3 linked regions of the Astyanax mexicanus genome follow. The protein of the gene in region 3 purifies or fractionates together with the protein of the main gene of each other region. This does not show direct contact. Links are inferred from orthologs where the notes say so. Each region holds a gene or a part of one and is shown on either strand. Other genes may lie near its edges. The genes, in order: nudcd3, emc1 and klhl22.

Region 1 (7,951 bases), on a different chromosome or scaffold from region 3:
TTAATATAAACTGTATTTCCGGTCACATATCACATGAATATTTTAAATATTATTTAAATGTGAATATATAATTTCCCTCTCTCTCTTTTACATGTGCATCGCTCCACTCCACTCCAGATATTTGAGAACACACTCCAGAGCTTTAAACTTTCTCACTGTATTTGTAACTGGATTTTTTTTTTATGGATTATGTTGGATATTTAAGGGAAAATTGTCTCATTTAGGCAAAGTTTTTTTTTTTTGTATTATGATGGAATTATATGTGCCTTGTCTTTTGCACTATAATTGTGAACACACTTTTGCGTTAAAGGAAATGTTAATTTTACAGAATAATAATAAATGTGAAATTGGGAAGTTTAACCACCCCCAAACTTTTAATTTTGTCCTGTTTGAAAAAAAATGTTAAAGAAATTCTATTAAATTCCTTAAAACAGTGTTGCCTGGTTTATAATATTGTTGAGTTTTATAGTTATGCGCTGATGTGGTCTTTTTTTCCTGGGTTAATGCCCATATTCTGTATTTCACATGTAAATATCTGCTGCTGCTAATATAGATATTTATAACTTACAGAGAGATTACACACCCCAGTTTAACTTTAAAACGTTAATAACTAATAAAAATCAATAAATATTAGCTTAAATGAGTAGACGAGAGTTGGCCTTTTGTAGTAGTGTGGCCAGCACCTCTAACTCCTTTCCCAGCATAAAATAATAAAAAAAAAAATTCTAAAAACAATTAATTCTGGAAAAATAGCAAATATTATTGTGCATTTCTAGTGTTTTGTGTGTTGTTAAGCAGGCACCACGGGTACCATACTAACACTTTAGCAACCACCTAGCATTTGCTTAGCAACACCATAGCAACCACCTTGGAATTGTTAGTTACCACTTAGCAACCACACACCAACAACCAGGTATACCACAGCAACACCACAGCAACCACTTTGCCACAGCTTAGCAACCAACTGGGATACCTTAGCTATCAGTGTGAACTCTTTTAGCTGTCCACTTTTCTAATTAATAATGTGAATTATTAATCTGTGTAAACAGTCAAAAGACAAAAAAAAAAACAGGGTGTTAAATAATAAAGCGTCCCCACTTAGTTTTAGGGAGCAGAGGTAAATAAAAATTAAATTAAAGAAAATAGTTACTTCATCTCTTAAAACAATTAATGAATCTTATGAAAAAAATTGTTTAAATCCCTTAATGATGCAATAAATATTAGCATTAGGAAATCTATGCTAAGTAGGTTGCTAGATAGCTTAAAAATAATAAAAATAATTATAATAATAATAATAATAATAATAATGTTGGCATGTGTGTTTGCACATCAGGAACATTTAAATTTACAGAGATTATTTATTTGTTTTTGATAATTGTTTGCTTTTAGTGCATTAAAAAAAAATAATAGAAAAGCAAAAAAAAAAACTTTAAGCCTATATAATTTATAAACTCTCTGTGACGAACATACAGAACACAAGCATGTTTCATATTTTAAACCTTTATATTCACATGATATTTATAACACAAACAGTTTGAACTGAAAAAGAAACACAGCTGTGAGTTCCGATCCTCCCTCCATTACAAAACATTAACCAAACACACGAGAGGTTAGAGATATTTATACACCACTTTCTCCTCCACCGTCTGGATCTCCATCTTCACAGGACATTTATAGAAGTGCGAGAGCAGTTCCTCAGTGTAGCCAATAAAGAAATAATATTTACGAGGAGGCATCTTCTGGAACATTAAAGCAGAGATGATCAGCATGTTTCCTCTGCGCTTAATAACCAGTTCATTCGCCAGGCACCTGTGAAACGTGCCGTATATGAAGCGTCGGATGAAGGCGTCTTCTACTGTTCGATCTGCAGTGCCGTGCTCTCCATTCAGATTACCTAAAAAAACATAAAACAGTGTGCAAAATTCTAAAAAACTCTAAAATTGTAAAAGTCTTTTTTTTTGTTTTGTTTGAGCATAAAAAAAAAAACAGTGTGCATTTAAGATTTTTTTTTCTGTCTGTTGGATATACTGTAGATACCCAGTTCAGCAGGTGTAAAGTTGTGGTCTATGTGTCTATGCTGCATAAATGATGAATATATGGAACATATAGATGCAGCATAGTAAAGGAAAATCAGTAGTGCACTTTGTTAGTGCACCTTTGATAGTTTGTTGTGTTTTTTTTTTAATCATTTTAATAGTGTAAGTCAGTGCTGGACTAAATAATAATATGTCTTTTCAACTAAAATGAGCTGAATAGGCTGATTAGAAGTCTTGTTATAAAATAATATTAGGATATTAGAGCCATAATAAATAACTACACTATACTATTACATACACATACATACATACATATACCCAGTAAAACTGGAAAACTTTTCAAGAGGTTAAAATCAATAAAAAGAGTGACTTGCTTGTATGATGGGAGAGCCATCCCTTCCTGTGAGCGATCTGGTGGGGGGGCAGAGCCTCCTCATACGTCATCGGCCGGTCCCCTTTACCCACACGGATACGAGCAGCACGATTCTGCAGAGACAAGACAACAGACCCATTAACCCTGCAGCTACATCATATCCTTTACAGCCAATCAAAGCATTACAAATACTGACCATAAACCCTGAATATTATATAGTATCAGCATCATCATCACCACAATGCACAGCACTCTGTTATTTTACACTGACTGAAATATCACTGACAGTTGGCTGTGGAATATTTAGTAGTGAGTAGTGAAATTTCATGACTGGACTTGTTATTGCACAGGTGCTGCGTCCTACAGTATCACTGTACCACAGTGCTGGAATTCACTGAACTCCTGAGACCCATTCTTTCACTACTGTTTGTAGAAGCAGTCCCAGCATGCCTAGCTGCTGCTTTTATTATTAAACACCTGTGAAGACGGAAGAGATTCAGGAACAACTGAGTTTTATTATTTGGATGGGTGAGCGAATCATTTTGGCAATAATACAGTTTAAAGTTAAATTTTAAGAACACACCAGTCCTCCATACCTTATTACAGACTGCTGTAGAGTGGATGCTCCTCACTCCAGAGTTCAGCCATAGTGCACCATTCAACTGACTACACAGAGTCTATAAGGGAAGAAAAAAGTCATAAGCCATGTATCAGAAAATGAGAATATTATATGAGACCAATTGGTACTTTTGACAGTGTGGGCAGTGTGCCAAGTCCGGCTGGAAAATAAAATCCGCATCTCCAAAAAAGTGCTGTAAGATTTTTCCACTCTTCCTCCAGACTCTGGTCCTTTGATTTCCAAATGAAATGTAAAATGTACTGATCATCAGTGATGGATTGGAGAGACATGTCATTTGCTGGTGTTGATTCACTGTGTCAACCTCTCAATTATAGTTACATTTCTTAAATAAAAAAAAAATAATATATATATATATATATATATATATATATATATATATATATATATATATATATATATATATATATATATATATAGGGCTCTGGAAACAAATAAGGGCCCACTTCAGTTTCTAAATCAAGCTTGGCTTGATGGCTTGTGGTCATCCATCTCCCTTTTGATTATATTCCAGAGGTTTTCAATTTGAAAAATCAAAGAATCTCATCTTTTTTTACACACTCTCTTATTTTTTTTTCACAGCTGTGATATATATATTAACCCTACATTAAAAATAATGAATTAGGGACAATAACACAGTAACTCTGCTGTATTCTCAGGCTCGCAGTGCTGCCCGCTCTACACTACACACAGAGAGCTGAACTATAAAGAGCTGCAGGTGATTTTTTGGTAATAAACGGAGTATTAATGGTGTAAATCAGCGCTTACTGTTAATAATCTCCTCTGGCTGCTGAAGGACGCCGCCATGGCTGCTGCACATGACCACCAGCGACCATCACCCGCTTCCTGTACCGCAGCGGAGCTTCACTGCCGCCCCCTAGCGGCTCCTCACCCACACACCAACCCAGATACACACTGTACTGTACAATGCATTTATAACATACAACAATATTTTTACCTTAATGTGTTGCAAATTGCGACAGTTTGAAACATTTTACAATTAAATAAGATATCTAAATTTTATTTATACATATATATATATATGTGTGATGTTGCTTGTATGTGCGGTGAATTTGGCCTAATATTGTGTCCATTTCATGTTGATTCTTTGTATTATTTACAAAGATTAAAAATCAATTAAACATTATATTCATTAAAACATCAATATCAACAAATAATATAGATACTACATTGAATGAAATTTAATAATATATTTGGATTTTAAAAGTACTTTTTTTAGATATTATAAGCATATTTAAATAGTATTCCATGATAAATCTTATGATTTTAACGTACTTTTGCGCTCTCTACTGGCATTTTGTTAAAACTACAACAAATTAAAATGAGGACAAAATAATTATTTTTCTTAATATTTTTTTTTTTAACATTGAGGACTGATATGCATACATAGATAGATAGATTTTTTAAATAAAGTAGTCTCTAAATATATAAATATATTAAAGTTATATCTTTAGTAACTTTAATAATTTTTATTTAATTTTGTTCTCTTCCTGTCAGTGGAGTGACTTCTGCTGTTAATAATGCAAAAGCCAAATATTTAATTAAATTAAATATGTTCATTTTATTAAACTTTTAATAAATTCTTTATAAATATATTTGTATTAACTTTTAATGGTTAAAAGTTGTGAACAGGCAAGGGAAGACTTTTATTTTGGTAAGTGGTACCGGAAGTGTTTAGTAAGGCTGTATGGTGTTGTGGCTGTGTGTGTTTTTTAGGGACTGAAGCTCTTTCTCTGTTTATAAACTGTGTAATTTACTGTATTTCGCGCAGTTAATCGTGTGTTTTATATCAGTGTGGTTTATTAGCGGTATATTAGAGCTCGCGCTGTGTGGAGAATGTCCTCGCCGGTGGAAATGACGGAGTTATATGATAACGCGCTGCTCGGGATTCTGCAGCACGTCGGAAACATCCAGAATTTTCTGCAGATTTTTTTCGGGTTTTTATACAGAAAAACTGATTTTTACCGGCTGATGAGCAGCTCTACCGACCGCATGGGTTTTCCGCCCGGAGTCGCGGAGAAAATGGTGCTGAAGGTGAGAGAATTGCATGCTGAAGAACTTGAAAAACTACTGACCTGTTTATTTACCCCCACTGTTCATCCACAACCAGTACAGTACAATACAGTGCTGTGAATGACTGTACAGTAAGGTACAGTACAGTGCAGTGAATTACTGTACAGTAAGGTACAGTACAGTGCAGTGAAGTACAGTGCTGTGAATTACTGTACAGTTAGGTACAGTGCAGTGAAGTACAGTGCTGTGAATTACTGTACAGTTAGGTACAGTGCAGTGAAGTACAGTGCTGTGAATTATTGTACAGTGAAGTACAGTACAGTGGAGAGTAGTGCAGAGCAGTACAGTACAGTGAAGTAACTTACAAATACAGTGCAGTGAAATACAGTACAGTGCAGTGATGTACAGTCAAGTGCCAGTACAATGCAGTGAAGTACAGATGCAGTGCAGTAAAGTACACACAGTGATTTGAAGTATACATACAGTGCAGTGAAGTACAGTACAGTGGAGAGTAGTACAGAGCAGTACAGTACAGTACAGTGAAGTAACTTACAAATACAGTGCAGTGCAGGGATGTACAGTCAAGTGTAGGTACAGTGCATTGAAGTACACATACAGTGCAGTAAAGTACACACACAGTGCATTTAAGTATACATACAGTGCAGTGAAGTACAGTACAGTGGAGAGTAGTACAGAGCAGTACAGTGCAGTGGATAGTAGTGCCGTGCAATACAGATACTGTGCAGTAAAGTACTGTGGAGATTAGTACAGTGCAGTGAAGTGCACTGAACTGAACATCTCTTGGCTTGGATGAACTAAACTTTAGATGTAAGGATAATTAAATTAAATTGGATTGAATTACATTAAATTTAATATTTCATTTTAAAGACTGTGTTCCTGAATAAGGATGACCCAGCATCATTATAATTTTATTTTTATGTTTATATATATTTTAACAATGCTATTTACAAGTCTCCTCTTTCTCCTTTGCCTCCAGACATTTAAGCTGTTTGAGAAGTGTGCGGCTCAGGACAGAGAGCGGGCGATGCAGGTTGCTGAGGAGACCAAAGCAGTTCCAGCAGCAGTTCAGGAGCTGGAGGTTCAGTCACAGCCAGAAGAAGCAGAACCTGCTGAAGCCCCTCAGGAACCTGCAGCTGCCTCAGCTTCAGCCACAGAACCAGACGCTGCTTCAGCTATGGAGACCCAGTCACAAAACAGCGTCCAGCCTGCAGAGAGTGATCAGGCAGCAGCAGCAGCATCCAGTTCAGCCTCCGGTTCAGCCTCCGGTTCAGCCTCCGCTTCAGCCTCCGCTTCAGCCTCCAGTACAGATGCAGGGTAAGGGTTTGGTCTTGGGCTTTGGTGGAACAATCCTGGTTTTTAATCACAGTTTTTCTGTATTTTGGCATGTTCTCCTCCACCAGTCTTACACACTGCTTTTGGATAACTTTATGCTGCTTTACTCCTGGTGCAAAAATTCAAGCAGTTCAGTTTGGTTTGATGGCTTGTGATCATCCATTTTCCTCTTGATTATATTTCATAGGTTTTTAATTTGGTAAGAGTTTAGATATACACACATGCATATATACTGTCTGTTTTTAGAAACAACCTACACTGAAGCATATTTGTTTTATTATGTATTATCCTAATAATTTTATTTAATTTTACGTAATTTATTGATCTTGTCTGTTGTTTGTTTAGTGGGCAGACTGTTTATCAAGCCAACTCGGACAGCTACAATGGTGCAGTTAGAGAAAACTACAGCTGGTCGCAGGATTACACGGATGTGGAAGTTCGAGTTTTTGTACCACCCAGTATCGTCAAGGGCAGACAGGTAATTAACAGCCATGGCTATCCACAGCAGTAAAAAAAAAAAAAGTAAATTACCTTCTAGATCCTACTGTAAAAATTCTTATTAATTTTTTAAAATACATTTTTAATTAATACTGAAGTGATTAATACTCTGAAGGAATACATAAGGAATCATGTAGTATCTTAAAAGTGTTAAACAAACTAAAATGTTAAATGTAAAGTATTTAGGTGTTCTTATCTGGGGAGCTGTTAACTTGCCAACAGAGGGACTTTTCGCTTTTCCTTTACTGGGGCGGTCCTGATGAGTGCCAGTTTCATCATCATGATGGTCTTTTTTGCAACTGCATTTTCGGATACTTTCATAGTTCTTGAAATTGACTTTCGGATTAACTGACCATAAATTCTTCAAATATTTTTCCCTTTTCTTTACTTAGTTGAGTGTTTTTTGCCATAATATGTATTAGAACATTACTTATTCACTGTACATCTTCACCACTTTACAACTGATGCTGTCAAACACATTAAGAGGCAAGAAATTCAAGTAATTAACTCTCGATGAGTTCAGCACAGCTGTTAACTGAAAGCCTGAATTCCAGTTGACTCTACCTCATAAAGCTGACTGAGAAAAGAGACAGCAGAGATGTGCAAAACTGTCTAATCTAAACAAGAGGTGCTACTTGTTGCAGCAATGACTGTTTAATATCTTTTTCTATACAGGTATCTGTGAACCTTCAGTGTGGTTCAGTTCGTGTAGCAGTGAAGGAGGGAGCGTCAGAAAAAGTCCTGCTGGAAGGCGAATTTACTCACAAAATCAACACAGAGAATTCGCTGTGGAGTCTGGAGCCAGGACAATGTGTATTAGTAAGCACTGTTTCATTTCAAGCTGTTTTTCAGGATATTTTTTAAAATAGAAAGTTGTTGTTTGATGTATAAATAGTAAAAATGTGATTTAGGATGTAGAGAAACATGTTCAGTCACAATTTTACAAGTATGATAATACAGTTTCTTTAAGACTGCAATTTAAGTTAAGACTGTTATGTCCCAGTTTTGAGTGTTTTGGGA
Region 2 (7,686 bases), on a different chromosome or scaffold from region 3:
TTTACCTCAAGCAGGATTGGAGTCATTGTTGTCTGATCAGCAGACTGCAGTGGGAAGGTGTACAGTGATTTTGTAGTTGGGTCAGCACACAAAAGCACCCCAGAACCAACCATCACACAGCTGGACTGCAAGCTTGACAACCATGGAGCCGCAACTGATTTCTAGGAACAACAAAATATGTTTTCTGAGAATCATTCACACCAGGACAGGAATATTTGCAAATGTTACATTTGTAATACACAAAATATTTATTTATAATTAAACAGGCTAACATTTTTTCGTGCATAAAAAAAACAAAAAAAAAAAACAATATTTTCCAGACAAAGGAATAAGCCATGAAGTCAGACACCATGCCACAGCCAGCTGCATCACCAGACCCCTGATTAAAAATGTGTGGGATACTATTAGAGGTGCTATCAACACTCCACATCTGTTGCAAAATCTGCAGGAACTGCATGAATAATCCAGCTGCATGGGAAGGATTACTGCAGGAGATTCTGCATGTTGTGTTTCACATGTGTCACACACTACTTCTGTGTGTAGCATAATAAGTACTTCCCATATCATATATCATATAAGCTCATCAATTACTGTCCCTAGCAAGCTTTATCTTCCTTCCAAATAGCATTGCAGTTATTTTCGCCACAATTTTCTTTTGACAGTGAGTGTATATATATTAATTTTATTTTTGTGGGTACATTACTAATGGGCCAAATAACATTCTTTAAACGGGGTAACTTTGGGCAGCCCTGATTAAAACAATAGAATCCATGCTTACCTGTTTCATGATTTCTCCATCTTCTATGTTGTATTCAACAATAACAATATGAGAATTGGGGACCACACCAAGAACAAAGACCTGTCCATTCCCTCCAGAGTAGACCGTCTGATATTGAACAGTGTCACTAAAACATACAAAACAATAGAATGCAAAAAATGTAACGAAGTGATTTAGAGATTTACAAGAAAAATAAGTGACATAAAGAACAATTTTATATCTATTAAAATAAATAATTCATCTGCAAAATATTAACTAGTTTCACCTTTCTGGAAGATTTTCCACCCATTTCTGATGGCCATTGGAAAGGTAATGAAGCGAGATGGCAGACTTCTTAAGCACCGCAACATACCTCACCACATCTTGGACTCCAATATAAGCAGCAGACTGAAAACTAAAGGGATAATATATGTTATTACATTTCTGAATATCACAACACCATTATAATCATAAAGGTCACAAACATCCAACCTTCCAGTATCAAGCACTGTCTCCCAATTTAAGCCTCCAACAGTGGTCTCCCAGGATCGAAGAAGTCGACCATTCCCAACAACAACAACGGCATCTAGTAAACAGCAAAGACCACGGTTTCACAGTTTACTCGCTGCACTTTATTTAGTAGCAAAATTAAAATTCATACTTTCTCACAGGTACCTTGGCCATGCATCATAAGTGTATCAATATGTCCATCTGGTCCGGTCTTGTCAACATGTCGCCAGACTACAAAAAGAAACAAGAGATCACTCTTACATATATTTATCCTTGCTTCATTCTACACCTTCATACATAGAAAAATAAATACATTCGATGTATTTTAACTTACATTTTCCAGTCAATTATAAAAAATGTAACTATTCTTATTTAAACTAATGCATCTTGGAGAGTAATACTCACAAAGATCTCCAGTTCTGGAGTTCAGAGAGGCAAAAATATTCTTCTCAGTTGCCACCAGTAGCTTTTTAGATGCCTGGGAATGAGTATCGAACAGTGCAAATTGCACCTTCCCCACAAACTGCTGTCTCCTAAAATAAGATTGCACAACAACATTTAGGCAACAATAATGAATTAGCTTCTGTTGAATTTGTTCATTAGTCTAGCTCTGTTTCCAGAACATTGTATTGCATTGGTTCATTCATGATGATGGTTTCATGCAATGCACAGCTGCTTGTATCAAATTATGTACAAAAGAAATAGATACAATGAGATTTTTCACAGAAAAACAGCAATTATATATTTTTGGCCATGTGAAAAACACTTAAATGAGTATGCATATTTTTCTTATCATATTAGGTTTGGCTCAGATAGCACTAGAGGCTAGTATAAGCCTTTAGATACAAATATCTTTATATTTGTCTATTTTGGAAAACACATTTAGTCAGTTGTGTGCACATTTTTGACTAACTGGCTTCTAGACAAAACCAACAAAAACACTAAAAGATACTAAAAACACGAAATGTGTTTTAAATTTATTGCACATCACTGACTGTAGTAAGTTCTTTACACTAAAAAATCACTGGCTAAAACGTAGGGATACGTGATGACATTGGACTCATATTGGTATCATATCTATGTCTAGATATTTTAAACAGAATCTTGTTTACGTGTGTATTGCTGTACAATACTGGCTGCACCACTGACAACAGGCCGACACTGGCTGCCCTACTTTAAAATCCAATGATATGTACATATTGTTGTTAGTTTCAATAGATATATTGTTTAATAAGACTAGTTCATTTAAAGCTGATGTAAGAACTAGTTAGCTGGTAAGTTTTTAATGTGTATACTGATATCATCAGCTTTACATTTGTAATTCAATATATCTGCATCAACCCAGAATTACCACATCAGTTCAGCCCTACTTAAATTAAACATCACAACATAAAAATGAGGGCTATGTTACAAGTTCTAGTAAATGTCATTTAAAAACCAAACAAAAAAATCTACATTTCTACTGAGACTCAAATAATACCATGTCTACACAATCTTTGGAATGGAAAATGAGAATAATGAAATCTAGATAATCTTGCAATTCTAGTCAATGTCCTTAGTTAAAATAATAGAAGGGTAGACATGTTCTACTCAGACTGAAACCACAACATTTCTCTTTCAGAAACCTGAAAAACTGATTAGCAGTTTCCGAAAGAATAATTATGATGACTGTAGCTATAAAGCTGGGATCAGTCGTTAAGGAAGCAAAAACATATAGGTTAGGTTAGCAAGCGACAGCAGGTGTATTCAGTTTAACTATTGTCATTAATCGACCAGTTGTTTGATATGATAGATACTTAACCCTAGCTATAAATCTGATTACAATAATTATGATTTAGAACAACTAAGCAAGCTAACTAGCTTAGCTAAGCTACATCTCACCACCAGCCAATCAGTTTTAGCTTTGGCTGCCATTAGTCAGCTAGCCATTAGCTCCCCGGTGACCAGTTTGAATGGTGTGTTTCAGAAAGCTGCCTGTCAGCGATATTTACAGAGTGTATAATCTCTCCGCCTGTACATACCAGTCAAACTTCCCCACCTGGTCCTCAAACACCGCCGCAGAGAACCCTAATAAACACAGACACACAGAAAACACAGAGCACAGCCCGGCCATCGCTGCTGCTGCTGCTGCTACTGTAGATCCTCCGCGGGTCCCATCAGCCTCCGCGATTCAGGACCCAACGACCAAACCCTCACTATCCGTTAATTCATTAATTACCAAAACGAAAATAATATCATTTATTTAAACCTTCAGTTTTTTCATACTGTACTTTCCATATTACCCCTAACAGATTGACTACAGTGTTTATGTGCATCTGTAGGAAGGCTGTTAGGATTATTACAGTCAGGCAGTTCCCTGGGCAGCCTTTTAGCTATATTTTAACCCTTTCCGACCTTTCATCCATTACAATGTACATCATTTAGACATTATCATGCGTTTTCTTTATTTTTTAAAGTTTTTAGCCTTTGGGGCAAAGTTATGTTTTACTTTAATTGAATTTAATAACATTTATAACACTTTTTAATCATGTTTTCTTTAACTGTTTAGGAATGTTTTATGTAATTTAATATAAAATATTACATACAGCCTTCCAATGCAATTTGAATAAAATATATATTATATATTTTAGTTAATTTGATTTATTTGCTATATAGATTTTATATGAGAATATTATATTATATTCATATTATATACTACTATTCTACTATAAAATCTATACAGCAAATACATTGCAAACAGAAAAGATTTGGAGTTGTTCGAAAAAATGGATCCACATGGAGCAACTGAGCAACATTTTCTAAATGTCTGATCATTTTACTAGTGATGGCAAACAGAGGGTTTGGGAAGACTGAATCAAAAGGTTCAAAACCTGATTTGTGACCGTCAAGTCAAGCTTATTTTTTGTTTCGATACAGACTTCGAACCAGTTTGAATCAAACACTGTGATTCAAATGAATCGATTCAGTTCGAATCTGAGTTTTGAGTTTGAAATCGCTGCTTATTTCCTGAACATAGAACAATATCAAATGTTTTAGCACCGCTGATTTATAGTCGCTGTCCAAAGAAAAACATGTATCTCAAAAACAGCAACTTTAGCGTTTTAGAGAGATAATTAGCTAAAGATTTCTTAGCTTTATTTAAATGTAAGTCAATGTGAAGAGTAAATTTCAGCTCATTTTGGCCCATTTATCAATTTTTACACAATGTAAAAAGGACAGTTTGTGTTTTAGACTATGAAATAGTATGTAGTAAACCAAAAATTTACCAAATTGAGATACTTGTTTTTAATTAAACAGCGAGCTTTAAAACCTTAGTTAAAATCGTTGTATAACTTTTAAACGTGCTCTGGCTTTAATTGTAGCATCAGCTCACCAACCGGTCAGCACACTAGCAGAAATGCTAGCGTCTTCCTGCCTAAAACTTGTATGCTGTACGAAAAATAGCTACGTACAGGTAAGTTTCTTTACTTTTTTAGAACAGTTCTTTATTATTATTTTCAAAATTAAAGAAGCATTTTGGACAGGTAGTAGTTACTATTTTAATTTAGAGTTTTTAGCTGTTTAGCTCAATTTACCCCATTTATTGAGGACTCTCTCGCGGACTCCCTCTAGCGTTAGCAGTCCTTTTTCACAGAACGGGAGAGCTGTATCCCTGCTCTAAAACACCTCAGGTCATGAGGCGCTGGATGCTGTTTTTACGATTGAGAAAGTATACCATGTAGAAACCTGGTACCTGGTAAAAAACAGACAAAGTGCCCTATTGGCTGCACTAGGCTACTCATAGTGAAAATGTGTTATTGTGTGCTGTCTAGATTTAGAAAATTTGATAACTTCTTTGGACTTCTGTCCTTTGAATAAGACATGCCTTCCATGTCACACCTATTAAATCGTGTCCTGAAGAAGACAGAACCGGACACGGTGCTGTATAGGGTTCTCCTACTCCTCCTCTCCTATTTTATATACATTTTTACGCATCTCGTGCGTATTTACGCGTTTCATGCGTTTTACGCATCCCGTGCGTAATTACGCAGCTCGTGCGCTTTTACGCATTTCGTGCGTAATTGCGCATCTCGTGCGTAATTGCGCATCTCGTGCGTAATTACGCATCACGTGCGCTTTTACGCATCCCGTGCGTAATTACGCATCTCGTGCGTTTTTCGATTGCTCCATTCAAGCAGGTAAATCCTAAATTAAGCTTTCAAAAATTATAAGATCTCTTTGAAATATGTATTAATACCTGTTTGAATCAAGCTTGCATGGTGTGCAAAACAATGATGTGTCGGTGTGCTGGATGCTGCAAGATGTGCCGGTCAATGTGCTGGTTTCTCCCAAGATGTGCCAGCTGTTGTAAGATGTGCCAGTTGATGTGCTGGCTGCTGTAAAATGTGCTAGTTGGTGTGCTGGATTTTTTAAAGATGTGCCAGTTGATGTGCTGGCTGCTGTAAGGTGTGCCGGATTTTTTAAAGATGTGCCAGTTGGTGTGCCTGATTTTTTAAAGATGTGCCAGTTGATGTGCTGGCTGCTGTAAGATGTGTCAGTTGGTATGTTGAATTTTTTAAAGATGTTCCAGTTAATGTGCTGGCTGTTGTAAGATGTGCCAGTTGGTGTGCCGGTGTTACACCGTTTTCTGTGACCGTCGGGTTTTGTGACCACAGAGGGCGCTACTTCACAGTTTCTGTTCACGGGCACGAGCGCGCTGCGTAGACTGCGTAAGCTACGCGGACTCGCTTTATTTTCTCTTTCTGCTGCTGTCGAACGATGAAAAAAGGGTGTTTACATTTTTATGTTGTCTATAAATAAAATAAATGATCTTGAACATGAACGTTTCATTATTAATTCTCTGCATTTTCACGTCGTATGAAGAAAGTAGGGGGGGGGGGGGGGGGGGGTGCACTGCAAAATACAAGCTTTTTCCCTAAACAAACCAAAACGTCAGAACCAGTAAAATATTAGATAAGAAGAAAATAGATTATCTCATACTTTACACCTGTTCTATTATGCTAAACATACATTAGATAATGTGTATCATATTTAAACTGATCTAAAAATTATTCAAATGGTAGTTATAATGCCCTATCCGATGTTAAAAGATTCCATTTTAATTCCATTTATTAAAAGGGTTAGGTTATTTTTTCATTGTTTTCTGTTATTTTGGAGACAAAATGGGCTGATACTTGATTCAACTGTAAAAATGTGCCTTTGTCAGGTCCTATCTTAAACATGAGTTATAAAGTTTTTTTTGTGAGAGTGAGGCAATCACTGGCCTTTACTCAAACTCTGACATCTGACATCAGAATATGTGACACTATTCATCTCCGTGTAAAACCAACCAAATCTTCACTCACTATTACTTCACATTTTCAGCTTTACAAAACATTTATTACTGGACTTGATCGTAATGCTTTAGAATAGGGGTCATACTTTCTGACAGCTGGTATCAAAATATGTGACCCTATACCATCTTTATTAAATATAGTTTAAAACTTACCACATTTTCTCAGATTACTCACCATTCCTTCACCTTTTCAGCTACACAAAACATTAGTTACTGGACTTGACCATAATGCCTTAGAATAGGGGTCACACTTTCTGACAGCTGGTATCAGAATATGTGACCCTATACCATCTATACTAAATATAGTGCAAAACCAACCAAATACTGTCAGATTACTCACTATTACTTCACCTTTTCAGCTACACAAAACATTTATTACTGGACTTGACCATAATGCTTTAGAATAGGGGTCACACTTTCTGACAGCTGGTATCAAAATATGTGACCCTATGCCATCTTTATTAAATATAGTGTAAAACTAACCAAATCTTCTCAGATTACTCACTATTCCTTCACCTTTTCAGCTACACAAAACATTTATTACTGGACTTGACCATAATGCTTTAGAATAGGGGTCACACTTTCTGACAGCTGGTATCAGAATATGTGACCCTATACCATCTCTATTAAATATAGTGCAAAACCAACCAAATACTGTCAGATTACTCACTATTACTTCACCTTTTCAGCTTCACAAAATATTTATTACTGGACTTGACCATAATGATTTAGAATAGGGGTCACACTTTCTGACAGCTGGTATCAGAATATGTGACCCTATACCATCTCTATTAAATATAGTGCAAAACCAACCAAATACTGTCAGATTACTCACTATTACTTCACCTTTTCAGCTATACAAAATATTTATTACTGGACTTGACCATAATGCTTTAGAATAGGGGTCACACTTTCTGACAGCTGGTATCAAAATATGTGACCCTATGCCATCTTTATTAAATATAGTGTAAAACTAACCAAATCTTCTCAGATTACTCACTATTCCTTCACCTTTTCAGCTACACAAAACATTTATTACTGGACTTGACCATAATGATTTAGAATAGGGGTCACACTTTCTGAC
Region 3 (8,459 bases):
CTGATATGCTCTGAAAGTACATATTTAATAAACTGAGTTTTTTTCTACATCTTTTTCTTTATCTTACAACAAATAGACTTAAAAGTAGACACCAAAACAAAAATATATTATTTAACATGAAATGAATAAATTGTGTATAATTTATTACAATTATTTGTGTATAAACATTTGTTGTCAAGTTACAATATTTTTTCTTCAGTTTCTAAAGATATTTGGGATATTTTTAGCTTATTTTTAACATTATACAGCATTCTCAGCTATGTGGATGTGGATGCATCTACAATGTTCTGTGGTGTCCTACAATTGTTTTTTTTTAACTTATGTTAAAAAAAAATCACTTAACAAAGTAGTATTATCTAAAAGTATCAATTTACTATTAAAGAAAGATAATATTAAAGTTTCATTATTAATATGATATAAAATTGCAGCATCACATAAAAAAATGTCTAACACATCCCAGTACAACACAAATTTCAAATGTATTAACCGAAGTAATTAACTCTAATGATGCTCAAACCAAAATGCAGAACTAATAACCTGAAATAGCCACAGGAAGCTGCAAGCAGGATGCGATGAGCTTGAATGGGTCTTCCCTCCACCAGCAGCACCACATCAAAAAGAATACCCCCTTCGCGCAGAGCCAGAAGCCCATCCAGGAGTTCTCGGGAGTGGCTACCGCTGCAGAACTTCTGCCTGGCACACGGCTGCACAGAGTTTACACCTCGCCCTGCCTTGACTGGGCTGGCATCCACATCATCTGCCATTTCTGCACCACCAGACGCAAGGCCTTGTACTGTAGATCACATTACTGAGAAAAGGTTTTCGAGATGAGAAGGGAAAGCTGTAGGTGAAAAAAACAAAAAAACGAATAATCACTTAGTGAATTTTTGTAACCATTTATTACAGCTGAATGCATCAAATATAACAGGCTACTTTATACATAAATGGATTTCAAGATATCATATTCAACACAACTCAAAACCTGCTGCATGACATTATGTTTAACTAAAAAACAGTATGGTCTTTAAATGTATTTTAACCAATTAATGGCAAACAAAAATATACTTGGCATTCTAAAGCAAAAATAAAACTTACTACTCTTACCATTAATCCTCATTCTACTTCACATAAAACAGTATAAAACAGCTAGCTAAATTTTTCTTTTGTAAATATTGAGACTTTCCTCTCTACTAATCACCATTGTACAGATATATGAGCTAATGGGTAAAAAATGCAACACTTTATACTAAACAAATCCAAGTAGTGCTGATACTTTAACACGGAAATTTGGTACAGTTTTGAAGTTTTGAAAAACAGGTGCATTCTTTTTAGGTGTGTATATATAATTCATACAGTAAATAAATTAAATATTTGATTAAGAAATAATAAAGAAACTGAAAGTACAGTGCACTGATCATAGATTTAAGTTTCTATAATCTATAAAGCTAACACTGACACATGTAAATTCACTGGTTGTTTTGGACAGTAATGAAAATGCTGTGGTTGGGTTAGATATTGCAAATCCTGTTTCCATTCACCACCACTTTCAATAAATCTCAGTTAGTGATTTTCTTTACAATTAACTATTTTACACTAAACCAATCACAGTCAATCTGTCTGCTTCTCAACAAGTGAAAATTTCTTTTTTTTTTTTTTTTTAAACTAGATTTAATGCGTAAATGTGTAAAAGAAATACACAATAAGAGAAACACACTGGGCTTTCGAAAGCAAAATCATTACTCTTAACTCTTAACATTAACTGCTACTTTACCTCACATAAAGCCCCATAAGACATACAGGTTTATTGATGGACGGGAGAGACATAAAAACAGAAATTAAAAATATATTTGTGTTGTAGACAGCAATCATCCCCGAATTTCTATCACTGTAAAGAAATATGCATGTTACCCTGAAATTAAATATTTTACACTAAACTAATCTGAGTGACTTTGTTGGTATATCAGTGTCTGGAACAAACTTCTCTTTAAGTGTGTATAATTTGTTATCTTAAGGCGTTCCTCATAACAAATCAATGACACATGTAAATTTACTGGTAAATTTACTTTGGACAGATAATATAATAGCTATATTTGTACTGTAGATACTGAGACATCCAGCTTCACTAATTACCAATGTACAGATATCTGAGCTAGTGGGTTTCTCTAAAATGCAGCATTTTATAATCAACCAATCCAAGTGACATTGTTTGTATTTTGAAGAACAAGTGAAATTATTAATTCTTTAAACACACACAGCCCAGGATAAAAAAAAAAGACCAATTAAAAAAGTTTCTTGGATTTTACCATATTGAAAACCTCTGGAATATAATCAAGAGGAAGATGGTAGATAACAGCCATCAAATCAAGCTAAACTGCTTGGTTTTTTGCACCAGGAGTGGCAAAAGCAGTGTGTAAGAGGAGGTGGAGGAGAAAATGCCAAGATGCATTCGAAATGTGATTAAAAACCATGGTTATTCCACCAAATATTGATTTCTGAACTCTTAAAACTTTATAAATATGAATTTTTTTTTTCTTCTGCATTTTATTGTTATTTCAACCATTTTAGCCCTTTAATATGTTCATACAGTTAACTTAATGTTTGTCTGACTCAGTTAAGAAACTGAAAGTACAGTGCACTGATTACAGATGTTAAGTTTCAACAATCTAACTATAAAGCTAACAATGACACACATTTACTTGTTGTTTTGGACATAAATAAAAATGCTGCAGTTGATTTAGATGTTGCAAATCTTGGTTTCATTCACCACCATTGTAAAGAAATCTCAATTAGTGAGTTTCTCTACAATTTACAATTTAAAACTAAACCAATCACAATCAATCTGTCTGCATCTCAAATAAAAAAAATGGGTGTAATTCCTCTTTTTACTGTAATAATAAATACAATACAATACTTCATGGCTATTGTTTGAGTCAGTAGCTGTAGAAACCGCAGTACTGTCTGCCTGCACTAGTTAACTAACCACCCTAGAGCTACAGAATAAAAACAAATGCACTGATTCCTTAACAACTTAACAAACATCACATGTAACATTAACTAACAAAACTAGGACTACTTTCCGCCAGTTAGTGTAAAATATTATAAATCACAGTAGCTGTATATTTATTTACGGCTGTTTGGCGCAGACTGAGCGAAGACGCTGAAAAACACTTGCACCACTGCAACAAGGTGGCTAAGCTAAGATGCTAACGCTAACGCTGTCTCCGCGCTCCGCTGTAGCACTTGTGCGCTTCATTAACCGCACAGAAAGTGTTATATTACTACAGCACGTCCGTTAAAAGTCGCGTGCATAAATGAATAACTGAAAAAACAATGAAACCTACGGGAACAGCGGCTGACACTCTACAGGAGGCTCTAGAAGGCTGAAAGTCGGCAGGCAGCGCTGTTGACAGTTGACATTTCGCTTTCGACTTTAGCCTAGCGACACACGATTCATGAATCAGTCGGTTCATTTGAACCGGTTCTTTTTTCGTAGGTAGTTGCATAGACATAAGATGTCTTTGGGTAGTAGAACCAAAGTAGCTCGGGCTCATTCAAAACTCATTGGGATAGTAATTTACAAAAACAAGGCAAAGCGAGCTTAACTGTTAAATAAAGTAGCTTTATTTTTAGTGTTTAATTACCCTCTCTTTCTGTGGTTCTAAAAAAAGTTCGAGTAATATAACCTGAGACACAACGGGAAATGAATCACTCTAAGAGTCAATAATAGTCTGTAGTGAAGTCGCTTATGTGTCACAGACCATTTAAAAGCTGTGTTCCTTCCAGCACTTTTTTAGTCATTTTAACTCACGCAGTTTCTAAGTGGCTTAATGAATATCTTCAGAGCATCACTACAGGACAGTGAAAATCTGTGTTTGTTCATCTGAAGTTATTTATTTATTTACTGAATGTAGGACTGGGTTAGTGCTGGAGATCAATTATTAATTGATTATTGATTATTATTAATTGTATTTTTTTTGCTTCTATAGGTCTGTACCAAATCATTTAAAGCACTAAAACCAATCTAAAAGCTTTAGTTAAATGTTTTACGTTCCGTAGAACTAGTTCTGACTTGATTTCTAGAACAACATTTATAAATAGTTTAATACTAATGAAATCTGTTATATTTTTATATCAGGATTTTAACCTTATAATATTTACAGTCACGTGCACACAGTAGTAGTAATAATAATAATAATAATAATAATAATAATAATAATAATAAAATAGGCTCTGGGGTATTATAGAGCATTTTTAATTTAATTTAATATACAGAAACCATGTTAGAATATCACGTTAATCAACCTTAACAAAAAAAAAGCACAAATGCTATTAAAGAGATTCTATTAAAAAAGTATAAGAAATGTACAAGGCTTTTGACGGACTTGTAAGTTTATTCAGAGGATAGCTACAGAACTGAATCATTGACTCAGACAGTTCACATGAATCGGTTCGGTAAACTGAATCAAACATCTCCTCTCTACTGAATATTAGCCTGCTAAGCTAGCGCTATGTTTATGTTCGCCAGCTGGTTCTCACTTCCGGTCACCCCTTTTAAAATACCCTGTACACTGTGAACATAAACACCATGATTAACACTTTTAAACGTTAAAAATGTTATATTGTGACATTGCGTTATGACTATAGAAACAGTAGATTCATTTGGTTTGATTTACTGAGCAACACTGAGCAATTCATTTCTTCTTTGATTTTGCTTATTTTCTTCTCTGTTCTGATCTGCTGCTCCAGATAACATGCACATGTGGGACATGTATGAGTAGCACAACTGCAAAACAAAAACTTCCATGTTGCCCCCAAATATTGAGGGGACTATGCAAGCTTAATATTTACACATTTGTAGTGTATATTGTTAGCCTTTAAACATCTGAAAGCATATTATAACAGTTTGAATGTAAGGGAAACAGGTTTTTTTATTTGTTGACATATACAGCTCTGGAAAAAAATAAAGAGACCACTAAAATGGTTTTAAACTTACATTTTAAACTTTATGAATATCAATCTGTTTTCTTTGCATTATTTGTGGTCTGAAAGCTCTGAATCGTTTTTGTTATTTCAGCCATTTCTCATTTTCTGCAAATGAATGCTCTAAACGACAATATTTTTATTTGAAATTTGAGAAAAATGCTGTCCGTAATTTATAGAATAAAAAAACAATGTTTATTTTGTTTAGACATATACCTATAAATAGCAAAATCAGAGACATGATTCAATAACTGAAGTGGTGTCTTAATTTTTCCACAGCTCTTGGTCTCTTAATTTTTTGTTTTTTATTGTTGTTGTATTTCCTGACACTTCTGTTATGTCCTCTGCACTGTTATAATGTAGCAAATGTCCCTGTTATGGTATTACTTATGTCTTATTTTATGTTTTTTTTTTAATGTAACTTATTTAACTGTATCTTCAGTAAAGCTGAAATGTGCACTTCCTTATTTTAGCCAACAGAGGCCGATGTTGTTCTTGTTAAGTGTTTTCAAATCTGTCGTGTTCCTCACACATCATAGAAAACACATTTAGTCCCATTTTATAGGTCCTTTACACGTGCAGTGTTTGTACAAACCATTTCAGAAGCAGTCAGTAAATCAATAAATAAACAGCCTCGTGAATGTATAGGCTATAGAAACTAAGATTCAATTCACATTTTGCAAAGATTTGATAAGACTTTTGACTAGAATAGACTAAAATAGAAACTGTCCCGTGTTGTTGCATTTGCAGTCTATTGCATTTGCATTGATCTTTAAACCATCTCAAGCAATTGATGTGATTATTTGTCCTGCTCTGTCTCCTCTGCTGCCTGGGTCCCAATGCTTTTATTGCACTCATAACTAATGGGGCATGTTGCTCCTATCAAACAAATGCCTACTCAGACCTGCTGTAAAAGCTGACATATGTCCCACACTAATGACAGGTCAGAAATCAATAAGAACCAGACAGAGCTACAAAAACAAGTCCAGTAAAAAAAAATGCTTCAGTCATTTGTGCTGGCAGAACGACTTTAAAATAGCCTTTTTTCAGCGGTAGGGTACACATGCTGGAAGAGACAATGTCCAGACAGGCCAGGGGTGTCAAGGCTTAGGTCCTGGGGGGCTGCAGCTCTACAGAGATCAGAGTTTTTTCTCTTTTCTCTCTTCAAACACACAGACTTTGCTCCTGTAGCTGATGAGTTGAATGAACGTGTGTTAAATGAGGTGGAACACTGTAGACCCACCAGGCCTGGGGACTTAACACCCCTTTTCTGTCTGGACATTGTGTTCTGTGTTTGCTGTTTCACCTGTTTCAACCTGACTGCTAATGGGAGTCTGTGCATATTAGTTTAGCAGGGCTTAGAGCATGTGAAGGGTCTTAAATCCTGAATGGTTTCTGAATACTGCTGGTGTGCCAGGGAGTTTATGACCTGCACCCTTATATCCTTTTTTCTATATATATAACAAAAGCACATTATCACAAAGGGCACTAGATATACAATACCAGTCAGTGTTTTGTTCTCTTTTTTCATTTAAGCTCTTCAGATACACTCAATATTCAGACATGTTACAAAATCTTGCAGTAAACTGACAGGGTTTCATATATAAGTATGATATGGTATGAGATGATGTAATAACCAAAAAGATGCCATTGAGGGTTAAGAAAAACACATGAGCTAAAACTGAAAAAAGGTTACTTAAGTATTCTTAAAAAACAATTATTAGTATATTGTAAAAGTGATATATTGGTTTAAAAATGTCATTTTACAAAGCCTCTGTCTGTAAAGCAGTGCTGAAACAGAATGTGTTAATGCTGTCTCTACTGCAGCATTTACACACTTATACACATTCACACTTTTATCATACATACTAGAAAAAGACACAGAAACACAGATAACTTAAGAATGTAAGTCTTTTCTTCAGATAAATTACAGATGAAGTCAAAGAGCAGTGAGTACTGTTTCCTACACATTCAAACGACTGGTACTGGAAGAGATCTGTCTGACCGACATGGCAACAGCTTTAGCCTTCAGCTCAGCTTAATATCGAACTTTGTCTCAATTTCAGCAGTGAAGAGAAGAATTGGTCAGACAGGTGAAGTTCAGCAATAAAAAAAGCAGCTTATCTGGGCAATATAGCAGTGCTACTGGACAACACAATAATCTTTAACCGGTCCTGTGTATATCTTTCTCATTCATTGTTACCATTATTTTTTGCACTATAAGCGGCACTCAATAAACATCTATTTTTATACATAAGGCACATTGGATTATAAGGCGCATTGTAATAGATCAGAAACTTCTAATTCAGCAGGTTGTGGGGGGTGAGGGAGGGGTAGCTTACTAAGTTAAGTAACTTTATTAAAAAAAGACTTTCTTTTAAAGTCAAACAAGGGCTGGATGTTAATCTACACAGATTTCTTTCCTGAAAACTGTTTATTTGGGTTAGTAAAGTGCATCGGTTAAGCTTAGAATTAGCATTATTGGCTAACTGCGCCAGCAGTGCTATCCGGGGGTTAGGAGCAGGCTACAGGCCTAAAATACTAACCTCTGAACAGGGAAATAGCGAGTGCAGTTAGTGGGTAATGCTAATGCTGCTCCAGCAGTGCTAACTGGGGTAAGCAGCAGGCTACAGACCGATAATACTCACCTCTTAAAGGGGAAATAGTGGTTAATGCTAATGCTACTCCTCTGTGCTGAAGAACAAAACTGAAACCGAATAACTTAACTGAACTAAAACTGAAAAACACTGCAATTTGCTCCTTAAAACCTGACTGGTAAAATTCATACATAAAAAGCACTGGCTCACTGACATTTTTGGGGAAGATTTGAGGATTTTAAGTGCACCTTATAGTGTAAAAAATGAAGTAAGTTAATTACTTTTTACCAGAAGAAAGTAATGTTATACAAAAACATCTGGTAAACTTGTACATCATCTAAAACGTATTGACATATTTAAGATCATAATATGTGGTGTGCCTGGCAAACAGATAAGAGCCTTTTTTATTATTGTTATTATTAGTGTGATTGCAGTAATGCAATCACAGTATTGATCTTCTTAAGTCTTATTAGTGTGATTGCAGTAATGCAATCACAGTATTGATCTTCTTAAGTCTTATTCTTCTTCTTCTTATTATTAGTGTGATTGCAGTAATGCAATCACAGTATTGTTCTTCTTAAGTCTTATTCTTCTTCTTCTTATTAGTGTGATTGCAGTATGCAATCACAGTACTGTTCTTCTTAAGTCTTATTCTTATTATTATTATTATTATTATTATTATTAGTGTGATTGCAGTAATGCAATCACAGTATTGATCTTCTTAAGTCTTATTCTTCTTCTTCTTATTATTATTATTATTATTATTATTCCACCTGTTTTTTGTCCGGTTAACTAGTGCCGCAGTTTTCGAAATATCGACTTCGTTCAAAAGAGAAAACGTGCGTCTATATCGGGAATGGTGGGCTTGTATACAGCTTTCCG

What was found.
Region 1: the proteins of klhl22 (region 3) and nudcd3 purify together in Homo sapiens (co-immunoprecipitation; 3 studies listed by BioGRID and IntAct, counting the BioPlex papers as one, with this or other methods). This does not show direct contact. The link is inferred for Astyanax mexicanus from reciprocal best matches to the Homo sapiens genes KLHL22 and NUDCD3.
Region 2: the proteins of klhl22 (region 3) and emc1 purify together in Homo sapiens (co-immunoprecipitation; 3 studies listed by BioGRID and IntAct, with this or other methods). This does not show direct contact. The link is inferred for Astyanax mexicanus from reciprocal best matches to the Homo sapiens genes KLHL22 and EMC1.

Annotation. Positions count from the first base shown.
Region 1 is NC_064427.1:2,310,678-2,318,628, reverse strand, and holds the start of nudcd3 (nudC domain-containing protein 3), read left to right. Parts: upstream 1-4,730; 5' UTR 4,731-4,903; coding exon 4,904-5,101; intron 5,102-6,077; coding exon 6,078-6,415; intron 6,416-6,778; coding exon 6,779-6,911; intron 6,912-7,606; coding exon 7,607-7,750; intron 7,751-7,951. Other genes in the region: mrps24 (28S ribosomal protein S24, mitochondrial), read right to left, coding at 1,611-1,894, 2,411-2,522, 3,006-3,086, 3,815-3,853.
Region 2 is NC_064420.1:35,925,199-35,932,884, reverse strand, and holds the start of emc1 (ER membrane protein complex subunit 1), read right to left. Parts: upstream 3,441-7,686; 5' UTR 3,381-3,440; coding exon 3,289-3,380; intron 1,801-3,288; coding exon 1,673-1,800; intron 1,499-1,672; coding exon 1,433-1,498; intron 1,344-1,432; coding exon 1,250-1,343; intron 1,173-1,249; coding exon 1,044-1,172; intron 906-1,043; coding exon 779-905; intron 162-778; coding exon 6-161; intron 1-5. Other genes in the region: uncharacterized protein zgc:154075, read left to right, coding at 4,665-4,721. UniProt on the Homo sapiens protein: Part of the endoplasmic reticulum membrane protein complex (EMC) that enables the energy-independent insertion into endoplasmic reticulum membranes of newly synthesized membrane proteins.
Region 3 is NC_064419.1:25,409,540-25,417,998, forward strand, and holds the start of klhl22 (kelch-like protein 22), read right to left. Parts: upstream 3,449-8,459; 5' UTR 3,342-3,448; intron 842-3,341; exon of another isoform or gene 809-841; 5' UTR 765-808; coding exon 538-764; intron 1-537. UniProt on the Homo sapiens protein: Substrate-specific adapter of a BCR (BTB-CUL3-RBX1) E3 ubiquitin ligase complex required for chromosome alignment and localization of PLK1 at kinetochores.